Linked DNA regions of Drosophila melanogaster. The protein of the gene in region 2 interacts with the protein of the main gene of each other region in a biochemical or structural test. Each region holds a gene or a part of one and is shown on either strand. Other genes may lie near its edges.

What was found.
Region 1: of the proteins of Srpk79D (region 2) and brp, one has a biochemical effect on the other in vitro, tested with the Drosophila melanogaster proteins (one study listed by BioGRID).

Annotation. Positions count from the first base shown.
Region 1 is NT_033778.4:9,502,160-9,507,077, forward strand, and holds the start of brp (bruchpilot), read left to right. Parts: upstream 1-1,605; 5' UTR 1,606-1,686; intron 1,687-2,844; 5' UTR 2,845-3,309; intron 3,310-4,918. Other genes in the region: Wnt2 (Wnt oncogene analog 2), read left to right, coding at 1-97, 163-350, 568-880.
Region 2 is NT_037436.4:22,272,185-22,277,091, forward strand, and holds the start of Srpk79D (Serine-arginine protein kinase at 79D), read left to right. Parts: upstream 1-1,800; 5' UTR 1,801-2,373; coding exon 2,374-3,254; exon of another isoform or gene 3,255-3,307; intron 3,308-3,361; exon of another isoform or gene 3,362-3,532; intron 3,533-4,907. Other genes in the region: Csp (cysteine string protein), read left to right, coding at 185-207.

The DNA.
Region 1 (4,918 bases), on a different chromosome or scaffold from region 2:
TGGGATGCGGTATGCGCGCAGATTCATGGATGCCCGCGAATTGGAGCGCGACTCCCGCACGCTGATGAACCTGCACAATAACCGAGCAGGGAGAACGGTGCGCATGCATAAAATTTAATAATAAATATGGCCTAGTTAATAGTTATGTTTTTCTCTTATCAGCTGGTCAAGAAGATGCTGCGCACGGACTGCAAGTGCCATGGCGTCAGTGGCTCCTGCGTGATGAAGACCTGCTGGAAGAGCCTGCCGCCCTTTCGACTGGTTGGCGATAGACTCATGCTGAAGTATCAAAAAGCCAAAACTGTTCAAGCCGTCAAAGGCAAACGTGGACTGAGATTAGTATTAAGCAGGTGAGAAATGGGAATCTTGCAAGATGTTGCATGATATGTAGGCAATAATCTAATGGCTAAATAAGTATTCTTCTAAAAAGAATAAAACACATAGTAGTCATTAAGTCCTTTTTAAATGCAATATGTTTGCTGTGCCTTCTGTAGCACGGTATAATATCAACACATTTTCGATCCCACATATTAACACATACCTCTTTCCACTTTTAATTTCTTGCAGAAAGAAGCATGCCGGCACCGCTCGTGCCCAGAAACCGGTCCTCGATTGGCCGAAGCGCATGGAGCTGATCTACCTGGAGGCGTCGCCCAACTACTGCGAGCGAAGTCTGCAGACGGGCAGCCAGGGCACCTCAGGTCGGACCTGCCAGCGGACCGGCCACGGCCCCCAGAGCTGCGATCTGCTCTGCTGTGGGCGTGGCCACAACACGCAGCACATTCGAAGGACCACGCAGTGCCGCTGCCAATTCCGCTGGTGCTGCGAGGTCAAGTGTGACGAGTGCGACGAGAGCTACGAGGAGTTCACCTGTAAATAGACGGGTAGCGGGAGCATATCGCTAGAACTAGGGCTATGTCATAGGAAATGCGTTGATTAAGTATTATGAGAAATGTATTACAACCGCAGATACGCACCGCGCCACCATACAGACACATTCCAGAATAAACGTAACAAGTTAACATCCCCAACGAATACTGTCTTATTATTAAGTTCGTATAATTCAAATAAGTATTTAAGTTTTCTTAGAAAAGAACCTTCTGCAAAAAAGCTAATCTAGGTGAGCTGATACATTCAGTCTGCTGTTTCAGATTTCTTATTCCTTAAAAATAGTTTCCAAAATAATGAAATCCAAATCTTTAAGAATCTATAATCTGTTCTTATAGAAAACTGTTCCTAAAACCAACGAGTTCATAGTCTAATTTTGAGGGCGGTTTGAATAGTTGGCGCGCAGCATTGCCAACGCTGAATGTGGAGCAATACGTAAGACCCACATTCGTTTAGCGTAACGCAATGCGCTGGCTCCATATTTTGGTATTGGAATTCCGGAATCCATTAAGCTGGCAGCTCGAGATGCCAGCACTCACTGAACTGCGCGAGCGCCGAAAGGAAAATTCATTGATTGCAATCGCGCGCTCTCCGGCTAGCTCTCCCTATGCCTAGGCCAGGAGGAAAGCAGAGGGTGGTCGGTAAGGAAAAGTTGGAAAACTCACCACTTGCCAGCGAATCGGCGACTATATTAGCAACTGGCTTGCACGAGCCGTGCTCAGTTCTTTGAGGGTAGTTAGTTGGACAACGGCGTTGCCGAAAACGGGCCACCTCAGCTGCCGCACAATACATTTTTGGGTTAGGAACACACATAGACACGAATACCAATACACTCCCGCATGCACACACACATACACACACGCGCAGTATATGTATCTGGCCGAGAAATGTATAAGGCCAAGAAAAGTCCAACTTAATTGCATTCGCAGCGGAGAAAAGTGAAAGAATAGCGCGAGAAAATTCCATTGACTGGCGAAAAGTGCTTCGATCAAATGCATAAAGTCCCCGTTAGTGTGTGTGTATGTGTGCGAGTGAGTGAGTGTGCGTGAATGGCAGCACTAGCGCTAGAGGCTGCTCCCTGGATACAGAAAAGTGATTTCCTGCAAAAAGTGCGAAAAAAGCGAGTTAAAAGCAAATCGAGCTGGCCAAAAAGCCGCCTATAGCGCTCAAAATCGTGTGACAAACTCAAGGAACCATTTCACACACACCCTTTATACGTATATATATATACAAATGTGCATTTGTGTATAGTATATCAGTGTGAAAGACCAACGTACAAACACACACTGTCAATCAAAAGGAGTCATCTGTCCCACTAAACGCTGCCTATCGATTGGGGCGAAAGCAAAAAAAAATTATTATAAATTGCTTCAACCTACATATAAGCCATGCGAGTTATACACACACACTCGCATTCGCACACCCACAAAACCGCACTCACACACACACACACACACATACGCATACGCCTACAAAGAGACATTAAGTTTGAAAAGCTATAAGCTGTATAACAGAGCCTAGAGCCGAGCGAATGAAGTGACGGAAGGTGGGGTGCCAGCATAATGTTGAGCCACCCAAACCACCCGCTCAGCTCCACCGCCCCTCGCCCCTCGCCACACGCCACTCCCCCCACAATCCCCTTTCGTTACGTCGAACCTTACGTTGTTCGTGAGCGTAACTCGTGCGTAGAACACTCTCCACTCCATTTTGCGGAGCACTCTTCAACTCCCTATCTCTCCGTATCGCTGTGTTTGCTGTGCCTGTGTGTGTGTGTGTGTGTGTGTGTTGGGCTCGAATGTGTGTCAGCGGGAACGAGTGTAAAAAATATCCTCGTTGGGCACGAAGCCACCAAACCACTTGGAAAAATAAATGAAACACAAAAAAACCCACTCAGTGAATGAAGACTTTAATTAGTTTAGCTGGAAACTCACGCGGTTTAATTATCCTCCCACACAGCCATGTACATAAAACAAAAGCCGTTTAAATCATAAACACAAAATGCAATTAGCCAGCGAGCGCACGCCACGAAAGTCAACAAACTAACTAAGCCAGTGTCATCAACTAAATTAGTGCAAGCAGCTAGCCGACCGGAACCGGAAATGCCCATTGAGCCGCCTGACAACAACCACAAACACAATCACAATCGCAGTCACCAGCACCATTGCATTGGCAACGGCCATAAAGACGAGCAACAAATCGCCCACACACACATGTAGTTGCAGCGCGAGTGCGTCAGTGTGTGCGGGCTCTGAAAACCGGAAGCGGAAGTCGAGGAGCAGCAGCAGGAGCAGGAGCAGGAGCAAGAGGATTAAACGAACGAGGAGGTGCAGTAGCAGGAGCAGCAGCTAGCTTAGCCAGTTTTTCATTCGCCCGCAGTTCGTTAAGGAAAATCATTCAAAATTCATCGCCTAAGCAAAGCGGGTGAGCTATTTAACCGTATTACGTATACGTAACGACACCCACACTGACACTGAGATACACACACATAAACGCACACACAACCAAAGAAACACGGCAAAAACTTCAATTTGTGATGTGAACCATAAGCGATATTGATTTCTGATTTGTGCGTATGCCTTGTGTAACAGGAGCCGCCATAATTTAATCGTAATCAGTTATAAGTAATCTGTTTTTGTGCCTGCCTTTGTTCTCTCTGTGTAACTTCTTTATCTCCTGTACGTATCTGTTGTGATTTCTTTCTTGTGATTTTACCGATGAATATGTCCAGCTGAATATAAAATACGATCCCCGATTATCTAGACCTAGTTGCAGTCCTAGAACGTAGTCGAGTAACTTAGTTTAGCGAGTAATTTTAGTCTGTTCTCCATGCATTACCCATACGCCCCGTTCAATCAATCAATCATCCGGAGATTGGCAAGCAATTTGAAAACTTATAATTAGATATGTGGATGGTGCCTTGTGGGGCAGGCTCGACGCATTCGATTTGCTCGCATGATTTGTCAGTTTTTTGTTCAGCTTTTTTGGGGGCCGGCCCAATCACCTCCTTTGCGTGTCAATGATGCGGTGTTTGCCTTTATTATTTACTTCTTTCGGCTGTTATTTGAGTTGCTTGCTCTAATTTTAGATCAGCCGAATAACTTTTATTGATTTCAAATTTCAACCTTATTTTACATGTGGTCTGAGTCAGTGTCTGTGTGTGTCTGTTGTGAGAGTCAGTGTGTGTGCGGGCGAAGAAAACGCCGCCAATCCATATATTGGGGCAGTGGTAACAACAAAATACGGCAAATATTTTACGATGACGCTATTGTTGTGAGCGGGAGCGAATGGAGAAAGCAGCCAGAGGAACGGAGAAAGGCGAGAGGAGAAAGGGAAGTGCGCTGGTGAGATGGCACGCATTTGCGCACTAGCCTCCCAGTGTGGTGAGTTCTCTCTCCGGCTTTCTCCGGGGACGCCTCTCGTTTTTTCGGAAGCTATTCAACATGTTTGTTTTGGGGTGGAGGCCCCCGGAGCAGATAGCCTGATAAGATGGCCTCCGGACGGACAACAATCGTAGTGGCTTCCAGTTTCAGCTTCAGCTCCAGGTCCCCCAAGTATGCAGCTAGAAGTGCAATCCGTCTCCCGCTCTCCGCATCTACATACATCTGGCAGTATGGCAGTATATATCTGGATATGTTTGCCCAGCAAAGTGCACTGCCTGGGGCTCCCTAATGGCATGGCGATGTAATCGAATCTGGGCCTGATATTTTATGGCCTGTCTGCCATATCCTGACCTCATCTGCTGCGCTTCCTCCATCTTTTTATGTCCCCATTCTCCCTGCCGCACACATAGAGCATCCACATCCACAGAATCAAGCTGAGGCTTCCTTTCCACGGCTTTTGGCTGTGTGAATGGGCTTCCGGCCTGCTGATTCATTTAGCATTCATTTGAGCCGCTGCAGCTGTCGCACCGCTGCCGTTGATATCTGCACTCTTGGCCCATTCACATCATTCACAGCAGCCGAAGGTTCAACATTTCGTCTTATCACCAGGTCGCATTGTTTATGCGGGCGCCTTAATTACAACCTGCTAT
Region 2 (4,907 bases):
GATTGTTTTCCAAGCTTTCGCAAATTAAATGAAATGAAAATTTTAATTTCCATCCAAGACATATTCAAAGAATGTAGCTTAAGTTTGACGGATTTTAGTTTTATCGTTTCTTATGCAACGCGTACATTTTGATTTCTTTTCACTTATCACTGTCTACTTCTCTCTCCCCCTCTCTTCACTCTAGATATGGTTAATCAAAAATATTAGTCAAGTGCTGCGAGCGAGTCAAGACCCGGGTGCTTGCGTACACCACACATTCAGATACAGACACAGAAAACACAAGCCCCTAAATCGTAACAGAAGAGAAAACCAGATTTATTTCATAATTATTAGTGTTGTTTTTAAAATGCGCGATATGTTGAAGCGAGTAAACATAGAAACCAATGTATTTATTTTAAGCCGTAGCACTTAGCTCTAATTTTAAACTATCGAACTTCGTGGCCGCCCTCCGGTCAGTCAGGTTGATTTTGGTCCACTTCGGGCAATCGATTCACCAATTCCATTGTTCAAGCCATGCATCTAGCCTTGCAGCTGTACCACTATACAACTCGAATCGATAGCCAAGCCGCGAAGCCACCATCTCCACCTATCCAGTCATGCTAATCACCAAAACACCATTCGGTGTTGATGAAATTGTATATCGGAAGTTTGTCTAGACATTTGCTTGGGGATCGGATCCCTTGCGGCTTAGCCCGTGAGTTGGGATTCAGTCGCGAAGAGAGGCACTGTAATTATATATATGTATATGATATGTGTATCTAGTTTGTGGCATTTGTGTCGTCGCTTAGTCTAGCTAATTTGTTCTCGAGATCTCCTCTTCACCGATTGTTTCTGTTATTTTGCACTAAATTGTTAAAGCCAGAACTACTTATGTAAAAAGGATGAATTGTCGAGCGACGCGCCCAGCAGATTGCTCCGATCCGATTCTAATGCAAATGTAAATACGAGTTAAACAATTAAGCATCACACAGTTAAACAGAGGAGGACGAAGAAGAGGACACTTTGAAGGGCGATCCAATTAACGCAAATATAAATTATATAACAGATATTAATAATCCCCTCTATATATAAAACAATTAAATACGAGTAATCAAAAGTTGAATTGTAACCCCCGAAAGTATTGCACATATTTATGTATTCCAAATTGTTTCAAAATTGAATTGAATCTAATTAATTTTTGTTTGATTGTTAACCCGCTTTTAAATGTAAATGAATGCGATTAGTCCAGCAGTAATTAACTTTTATATTGTAGTATCCCATTCTAAATCATTGACATCAATTATTGCCGATCAGCTCCGGGCCAGGATAAAAGTCCTTGGGCGCCTGGGTCTAGGGCCGGGATCCGAGAGTCGCCGGCTCATCTATAGTATAAACACGCATACATATATAAAATTCAATTATTAATAATTACATTTTACGGTCTTGCGTGTGTATTTATTGTTCGTACAAGTCAAAGCAAAAATACTAAGTAAACTAAATTTAAACTTAACAATTGTTTCCAAATTTCAATTGTATTCTGGTCTAACACGAAGAAGCCGAAATAAATTTATTATACAAACTCACCGCTTTGTTTTACAAAGGGTATTGCCTAGTCGGCTTTGCCCATGAAAAGCTCTGCCAGGATGGTAAACAAACTGATTTTCGGGGATGGAACTTTCGACGACGCCAGCTGCTTGCAGTTAGCTTTCACTCTCTCCGCTCGGGCTTTGTTTTGTTTTGGGACAGTAACGGGCCACAGCCGGCACATGCGCTTTGCCCGCTCCCCGGAATCGCTGAACTTCGCCGCAGAGTTTTCCGCTTCAGAACCCGGAGGGCAGACCGTCGGAGAGTTCGAGCCAAGTGCGGACAAAGAAGACTTTTCCGTGCTGCTGCTTCTGCCAAAAACACAAAGTGGAAAATGTGATGTGTTCGCTTTATTTGTCGAGGATAAATCAATTCCGCTATTAACTAGACTACGGGCACGTACCTGGCCAAAAGCATCGAAGAAAGGCGAAAGGGAATCCAATAGGCCCAATTGAGGGCAGACCGTGGAAAAACCCTCTTCTATCGCGAACCAGTTCGTGGCAGTGTGTGCGTGCGTGTGTGGATTTTCGCCTTACTTTTTTCATGCGCAATTTGGGTTACAAAGCGAGAAAAGCGCTGCTTAAAATGCATGTTTTAAGCGCGTCCCTTCATTGATTTTCCTACGCACAAGGAATGATATACGAAGTCCTCACCAGGAACAAAGGGCGCAGGCCAACGATGAGGACAAAGACGCGAGGAAGCTGCTTCTAGCTTCCCAGCATTCATTAGGACAGGGCGAGGACCAGCCCCGCGCAGATCAGGAAACTCATCCCGGGAGGCATCCTGGCTCCCGTACTGCCCAGTAGCGGCATGGCCGGCCTCATCGGTGCCGCAAATGGCAAACACCACCACCCACACCTCATCTCGCCCACCCACACGTCACTGCCGGCCGGCATATGTAGTAGTGACAGCGGCATCTCCACTTTGAGTGCCATCTCGCCGCCACTCTCCACCTCGACCACCACGGCCTCCGGTGCAGGCGGAGGAGTGGGCGGCAGCCCTCAGCTGCGCACCTCACCTGCGCTGAGTATGCTGGGTAGCGCCACGGCGACGGCCAGCGGCGTTACCGCCTCCTCAGGATGCGGTCTAACTGCCGGGATCCTGGGCCCGGCGGCCAGCATTGACCTGGGCAGCTCGCCGCTTTCTCACCGAAACTACAGCAACTCACTGAAGGGCTTTAGTTTCCGTCGCAGCTTCGACGACAAGATCATCAATACGCCGTACTTGTCGCGCGCTCCAGCCTACACCCACGGCATTCCCTATCCGCATTTTCACGGTACTCAGCCTGCGGCCACCACGCCGCACCACCTCCACCTACACCACCATGGGAACGGCACAGCTGCGGGATCAGGTTCCGGTGTGGGATCGGGACCGGGATCTGGCAGCGGTGCAGGAGGACTCTACCAGCAGCCTCTGTCGCTGGCCTCGATGACAGCGGCCCTGCCACTGGCTCCGCTCTATGGATCCCCGCTGTCCCTGCCGCTGACCTCCTCTCAGTCCACCACCAAGCTCTCCTACCGCGACGACTTTCTGCAGCAGATTGGCTATCTGCCAACTACGCGCATCTACAGCACCCCGACCAGCATCGTCGACGAGGACAAGGCCCAGCAGGACTTCCTCTCGCTGTCGCTGTCGCCGCCGCTCAACCGACGGCGGGATATGCCGGCACTGCGCGGCCCATTCGTCAGTCTGTAAGTACTTCATCGATATCGTTGTCCCTATTTGGTAAAACATTTTTATTGTGCTATAAAATTAATATAAGAATTTAGTATATATTTCTATTTTCGGCTACAAATACCATATTTGCCAATATTATAAGATAAACTTCCTTCGATCACTTCATGATCACTTGAACACTTCATCTTCAAAAAAAATGTTCTTGACATGAACTGACACTGAGACATGATCAGAAGATCAGGATCTTTTAACAAATAGAGCTGGGCGTGTCCGTCCGTCCGTAATTTTGTATAAAGTTCGACCACACGTTTATTTCAAGACGTGTTCATGACGGACTACTAGAAACGTTAACTAATACTGCTCATTGGAAAGCGACGTCTCTTTAACGCTTTTCTGTTAAGATATCTCAACTCAATCTCTCAACTGAGTAACGAAGTAACTCGACCAAATGCATTTAATTTGTATTGACAAAATGGTATTAGGTTCCATTTCTGAGTGACACAGTATAAGCCTGTAATGTAAATAAAAATATAAATTGACAATTAATGAAATAATATTAAAGGGCATACCAGCTTCGACTTAGTAAAGTAAGCTTTTTTCCAGTTTTCTTTCCCATCACTCTCATGCGGATAAAATATGAACATAAAGTATACGCCGCGTGTATTCCACGTGTCTCTCACAGGCAGGAAATAAATTTATCGAACCGTAACGAGCTGCTCCAATATGTGAGCCGTTCGGGGATGGCCTCACTATTCGCGTTCCCACTGTGCGGGCACAGTGGGCCTCATTGTTGACGCAACCCATTAGTTCGATACCCTTCGCCACACAGTGTGCTTATCCCGAATGGGATGTGATTCCACACACTACATACTTACTTATGTGGTCCAGTTTTTTCGACAGTGGTACCAAGCAAACTTTACCTCCTGCGTCCCATAATCCTACATCGATCCCCCCGCATGAGTTCTTCCATTCAGTCCGCTCGGTTTGTTTACGTTTTTAAATTGCCCTAACCGCAAGTAGGCACCACGTGACGCCAGTGGCTAACCAATGAGCACCCCCAACCCAATCACCAACCTCCAACCCCCAGCGCATCCCCGCAATAACACAAACTCACTGCAATCGAGCAAAACGATGACGTTTTACTGCCTCTGGCTGCTCTGTATTCGCACTGATTTTCTAGCCGACTTATTGTTTTCATTCGCTTCTTTCGGCGTCTATAAATAATAATTTTATTGTGTTGTGCGGGGGGGGGGGGGGTTTGGTGGTGGTGTTGTTATGTACGCCGAGTAGAGCGCGTTCGTGTGTCAGAAATAGGGTGACTCAAGATGTCAGCAAGCTTTTCCTTCTAAAGAAATCGCCATGGCTCCATAAGGATCAACGGCTGACTCAAGTTGGGAACGGGGCTGCAAAATCAATAAGGCCGGTTAGTCCCAATACGAACTCACACATTTGCATATTGTGCAGGCGGCGGACGGAACTGCAGTTGCATTGCGAGGAATTTTTCAATCGCACCTAATCGCTCGAAACTACCTTTCGAAGTGGTTTCGAAACCTTTTGGAATTCGAGGTATTCGAAATCCTGCCTGTCGAACACCCCTCTGCACGGGCGAGGGAAAATTTGGCAAGATGCCTAAGAAATCTCGAAGCACTCGATGATGACGATGATGT